Linked DNA regions of Oryctolagus cuniculus. The protein of the gene in region 1 purifies or fractionates together with the protein of each later gene. This does not show direct contact. Links are inferred from orthologs where the notes say so. Each region holds a gene or a part of one and is shown on either strand. Other genes may lie near its edges.

Evidence for each region. Proteins that work in one complex are often made in the same cells at the same time.
Region 2: the proteins of SUDS3 (region 1) and HDAC1 purify together in Homo sapiens (affinity purification with mass spectrometry; 9 studies listed by BioGRID and IntAct, counting the BioPlex papers as one, with this or other methods). This does not show direct contact. The link is inferred for Oryctolagus cuniculus from reciprocal best matches to the Homo sapiens genes SUDS3 and HDAC1.

Annotation. Positions count from the first base shown.
Region 1 is NC_091452.1:14,529,460-14,533,115, forward strand, and holds part of SUDS3 (sin3 histone deacetylase corepressor complex component SDS3), read left to right. Parts: intron 1-511; coding exon 512-567; intron 568-2,905; coding exon 2,906-2,977; intron 2,978-3,656.
Region 2 is NC_091438.1:140,146,294-140,148,638, reverse strand, and holds the end of HDAC1 (histone deacetylase 1), read left to right. Parts: coding exon 1-92; intron 93-348; coding exon 349-501; intron 502-867; coding exon 868-916; intron 917-1,187; coding exon 1,188-1,215; 3' UTR 1,216-1,788; downstream 1,789-2,345. UniProt on the Homo sapiens protein: Histone deacetylase that catalyzes the deacetylation of lysine residues on the N-terminal part of the core histones (H2A, H2B, H3 and H4).

The DNA of each region.
Region 1 (3,656 bases):
GTGTGTGTTAAGCTTCTAGATCTAAAGTATGATGGCATCACACTTAGTTTCCTTGTATATTCTAACCTAGCTCTGCTTATCGTTAGTTATTATAATAGCTGTCTTCATATTTGAAGGTCTTATTTTAATTTTTAAATTTTTATTTATTTGAGAGATAGAGGGAAAGAACTCCCACCCACTGGTTTACTCCCCAATATCAGGTGCCAGGGACCCATTCCAGGCCTCTCTTGTAGGTGGCAAGAACCCAGTTACTTGAGTCGTCACTTGCTGCCTCCCGGGGTCTGTGTTCGTAGGAAGCTGCAATGGAGAGTGGAGCCTTGACTAGAATCCAGGCGCTCTGATGTGGGATGCAGTCCTTTTTTGACCCCTGTACTGGTCCACTTTAAATGAGCCAGTCTCTTAAATGTTAGGATTGACGTTCCCGTAACATCCCAGGTAATTCCTGCGAGGACCATGTTTGAATGGAGTATTGAGTGTTCTGCTTTTCAGCGTGGCTTTTCTTTCTTCACAGGATGTATCAGGACAAACTGGCTTCTCTCAAGAGGCAGTTGCAGCAACTGCAGGAAGGTCAGTGTGTGGCTGAATCCTTCACTGTTAGCTTCAAATCTTCGGTGTGTGAATCTCACTTCTCTGCGGCAGTGGCTTAAAAGGGGATCTGGCTGGTTTTAGCGATCTACTGCATGTTTTGCTATCTTCTCTCACTAAAGTGATTTTTTTTTTAGGAAGATTTATTTACTTTGAAAGTCCGAGTTAGAGGGAGAGACAGAGAGATCTTCCATCCGCTGGTTCACTCCCCAGATGGCCCCAATCGCCAGATCTGAGCCAGGTTGAAGCCAGGAGCTTCTTCTGGGTCTCCCATGTGTGTGGCAGGGACCCAAACACTTGGGCCAACTTCTGCTTTTCCTAGGCCGTCACAGGGAGCTGGGTCAGAAGTGGAGCAGCTGGGACAGGAACCAACTGCCTCCCATGTGGGATGCCGGCATTGTGAGTAGCGGCTTTACCCTCCATGCCGCAGTGTCAAACTGCTACGTCGTGGCACTGGCCCCATTAATTTATTTTTAAAATGTAACAGTTTGGGGCCGGCACTGTGGCTCAGCGGGTTAACGCCCTGGCCTTAAGCACCAGCATCCCATATGGGTGCCAGTTCGAGACTTGGCTGCTCCACTTCTGATCCAGCTCTCTGCTATGGCTGGGAAAGAAGTAGAAGATGGCCCAAGTCACCTGGGCCCCTGCACCTGCGTGGGAGACCCAGAAGAAGCTCCTGGCTCCTGGCTCCTGGCTTCGGATCGGCGCAGTTCCAGCTGTTGTGACCAGTTGGGGAGTGAACCATCGGATGGAAGACCTCTCTCTCTCTGCTTCTCTCTCTGTGTAACTCTGACTTTCAAATAAATTTAAAAGAAAATAAATAAAAGATAAACACTTTGAAAAAGGCAAAAAAAAAGTAACAGATTAATTCTTCAAATGAAATTTCAATTGGGGCTTTTATAGGACATGAATTTATCACTGTGTCTAAAGCTAGATATTATTGTAGCAAAGAATAGTTAGTTTTACTACTCTATCTCAACCAAATGTTAATGAACTGTGGATTATCCATACTGTTTTTTCTCTTTTCTTGGTAAATTAAAAATGAACTAGATCTGAGGCCGGTGCTGTGGTGTAGTGGGCTAAGCCTCCACCTACATTGCCAGCATCCCATATGGGTGCCAGTTTGAGTCTTGGCTGCTGCTCTGATCCAGCTCTCTGCTTATGGCCTGGGAAAGCAGTGGAAGATGGCCCAAGTCCTCGGGCCCCTGCACCCACATGGGAGACTTGGAGGAGGCGCCTAACTCCTGGCTTTGGATTGGCCCAGTTTCTGTCCATTGCGGCCACATGGGAAGGCGAACCAGCAGATGGAGGACTTTCTTCTCCCTCTCTCTGTCTGTAACTCTGCCTCTCAAATAAATTAAAGAAATCTTTAAATAAAAAGTGGATCTTGTCTGTTGCTTTTGGTTACTGAAGGCAGTGCAAGTGTGAGGGTTAAGAACATGGGCTGAGCTCAATGATTGGTTTGAACCCCAGTGTCTCTAGGAATGTGACCTTGGTCATATCCCTTTCTCTTTATCTTTTTTCTTATCTGCAAAATGAAGAAAATAGGAGTGGGTGAATTTATAGGTGAGGAGTGTTGGGCCCCCGTAAGAACTCGGGGCCATTAGCTGCTACCTTTAGCTCTTTGACTTCATATTGTGGAGTCCCACATCTGTGAAACTGCTTTTCCTCTAGATATTTTAGTCCTACATGATTCACTCCCTTAGCCTGGGTCAGGGACAGACATTATTAGAACAGGTTTCCTTCTCAAATTGGGACCGTGATTCTTGGCTTTTTGGGGAAGAGCAGTGAAATAAGTAGGGATTCAGTTAGAATCTAAACTAGAGCTGTCTAGAACTGGCATAGCCACAAGTAGCTATTTAATTAAATAACAATAATTCACTTGCTTGGTCACATTAGTTTCAAGAGCTAATATAGCCACACATGGCCGATGGCTACCATATTAGTGCACATGTAGTACATTTCTACTGTTGGCAGAGCATTCTGCTGGACAGCCTTGACCTAGAAGATTTTTCCTGTAAAGGGATACACACTGTCCAGCAGCCAGGGACTGATAGCACCTGGGGTGTCTGGATCCTTCCACACCCCCTCATGGGAGAGTCTTGGGCCACTGGGTTGGGGTGGACTCAGATTAGGTCCAACTAATTTGATTTTTGCTGCCTTGGCCAAGAACCAAGATCCAGTTAACTCTGCCCAGGTCGGGCTTTCCTGCATTTGTCTTTTACTCTGGTGTTATTAAAATATCACTGTTGGTGCTCAAAGATAATGTTAGGAAACAGATTGATCCCTAAAGTAACTATTTTGTAAATTCTCAAATCAGGTACCTTACAGGAATATCAGAAGAGAATGAAAAAACTAGATCAGCAGTACAAAGAAAGGATCCGAAACGCAGGTAAGCCTTGTTAAAGTGCAGGTCAGCCTTACGTTGTCCACCTTTGCTGATCCCGGAGGCAGTGCCGCCCTAAAAGTGGTGCCCCGATGTGTTTCAGATTCTCCATTGAGGAGGGAGTTTTTGGGAAGAGAGGCTCTAGCTACAGTGATGTAAAATTGACTTATCTTCTTTCCTAGTTGCCCAAGAATGGTTCAGTAGTCATGGGTGGCCCTGGGCAGTCAGATTCTGCTCCCTTGTACCCCAACAGAAGTGTACACACTTGCTCATGTGAGCGTGGCTGACTTAATGGGTGGTCAGCGGTGCTGATGTGAACAAGGTTTTACTCCCATTTCTCTTTTCCCGAGTATTCTCTGCTCTGGGGACAGGGTTGTCCTCTTGTAATCTCCCCAGGTATTGCAAGCATTAGGGGAAAGGGCATGCTTTTAGTCTGTTGCTCGTGGTAAATTATTCACTCAACGATTTGTTGAGTAAATGTGAGTTCCTAAGTCCTGCAGAAAATAGATGTGACAGCTATCCAATGTGTAAACCTGGGTTCTAGTTCATTACCAGCTTGCATTTTTGAGTGCTGCCAGGGTGCTGTGTGTTCTTATCATGGTAGAAGTAATGTTGCTGGTTTTTGTTTGTTATCTAAGAAGTGGAGACAGATAGTAGTCCTCAGATGTCTGCAGTGGCTAAGCCT
Region 2 (2,345 bases), on another chromosome or scaffold:
GCCTGGGGTCCAAATGCAGGCGATTCCTGAGGATGCCATCCCGGAGGAGAGTGGCGATGAGGATGAAGAAGACCCTGACAAGCGCATCTCGAGTAAGACACAGACTCTTGGCCTCCGCCTTCTACTCAGCAGGCAGCTAGGGCTTCCCTCCGCCATTTCTGCCTGCCTGCTGAGAAACCTGGAAGTTCTAGGGCCTGCAGGAACAGGCTGGGAGTCAGTTCACTCCCTCACCTCCTTGTGGTCCCCATCCCTTGGTTGTCTCTGAGGACACACAGCGAAGCACTGAACATAGACCCTGGGATTAAAACCTCCTGCTCTCACCCAGACTTTCCATCTCCTGCCTCCTAGTCTGTTCCTCTGACAAACGAATTGCCTGTGAGGAGGAGTTTTCCGACTCCGATGAGGAGGGAGAGGGCGGGCGCAAGAATTCTTCCAACTTCAAGAAAGCCAAGAGAGTCAAAACAGAAGATGAAAAAGACAAAGATGCTGAAGAGAAGAAAGGTAGGTCTGGATGTCCAGCACTGGGGTCTCAGCCCACGCCCTGCCACATCTGCAGGGATCAGGGGCTCCCAGAAGCAGCAGGGCCCACAATGCAGTGGCTCTCACATACCACCCAAGCGCTTTTCCCAGCACTCACCCCAGTTTCCCAGGGGGCTGCCTCCGCCCACCAAGCTCTGGCTCAGGCAGGCTGGAAAACCGGTCCAACCTGTCTGTTTTCAGCAGGGCTCACTGGGAGGGCCTGGGATGGGCTTTTCTCTTGTTCTAAGTCCAGTAAGCCATAGTGCTGGGAGGGGGTTTTGGGGTAAAGACTGTATGGGTCTCTCCAGAGGGGCTGCCCTTGATCATCCCTGCACTCTTATGTTCTAGAAGTCGCAGAAGAGGAGAAAACCAAGGAGGAGAAGCCAGAAGCCAAAGGGTGAGGAAGGAGCTGTCTGCCTTGGTGTTGGAGCATCAGCCCCTTTGTCCCACTGCTCTGAGAGGGAAGGCACAGGGACAGCTGGTCCCACTTACAAAGGCCTCTTTCAGGGACCAGTCTGTCTGTCTCTGCAGCTCTAGGCAGAGCTAAGAAGCCCCAGCCCCCGGCAGTCACCTGGGCAGCCTGGGCCTGAGGAAGTCATTGTATCCCCACTCTTGCCCCAAGGCCTCTGGGGTGGGTTATCTCATGCCAGTCTCTGCTTTCTCCACAGGGTCAAAGAGGAGGTCAAGCTGGCCTGAGCAGACTTCTCCAGATCTGGCTCCTGGCCAGCTTTCCCACCTTTCTCCCTTAACCCCTCAAGATTTTATATTTTCTATTTCTGTGTATTTATATAAAAATATATTAAATATAAATATCCCTGAGGACTAGACAAGAACCAAGGCCCTGAGGCCAGGGTAGCCAAGCTGGGTAAACTCATAGCCGCTGCCCTGCCAGCCATCCCTCCCCAGTTCGATTTTAAACCACGAAGGGCTCCAGGTGTGGGTAGAAGGGAGCTACAAGACACGCCGGGGTGTGTCCCTAGCAGGTATGGAAAGGTGCCCCCTGTTGACCATTCTAGGAGGGTAGGGGTGGCTGGGTCTTCAGGGACTTCCTGTTCTTTCCAGCCCCTAAGGTAACGTTAGCCATTTTTAGGTTGGTTCTGTTCTCGTCATACCGTCCCGCTGGCCTCAGGTGAGCCCCGAAACTAATGCTGCCCGCCCTCGGTCTTCCCCAGCTCTGCAGGTGGAGGCTGGCGGCCTAGCTTCCTTTTTGAGATACTATTTTCATTTTTGTGCGACTCTTTGTAATAAAATGGTACCTTTCTATACCCACCTGAGCCTCTGTTTCCTGGCACTCCCTGGGTTGATGTCAGCTCTGAACTCCCTGCGTTCTGGTGTACGGGCAGGGCAGCCCTACGACGACAAAGCCCGTAAACTTACCTGCCTTCTAGTTTGCTCCTGGCTGGAGGTTAACTAGTGTCCACAGATCTCACCCCATCCCCAGAAGACCAGTCATTAAAGCACCACTAAAGGGACAACATTTATTCCTTTTCCAAAGGTTACAGTAAAACCAGGTGGAAGAGAATGGTTTTAGCAATTAGAAAAAAAAAGTACAAATCTGGGGTTTGGCCATTAAAAGTTATTTACAACAATGGGAGAAAAAGACAACAAGAAGTTGTTTCACATTACAGACTTCCCCCACCCCAAAGCCTAATACTTGCTTACCAAGTCAAAAAAGAGACACAGTTGATTCACAAGCTGGAGGTTTGAACTTGAGTAAGACATTTATAAAAACCCAGACAGGGGCAGTGTCCTCCCCAGCCCAGGTGCCACTAGGCACAGCACAAGAGACTAAAAACTCAACAGGGGGAAGGCTGGACACTCAGGGT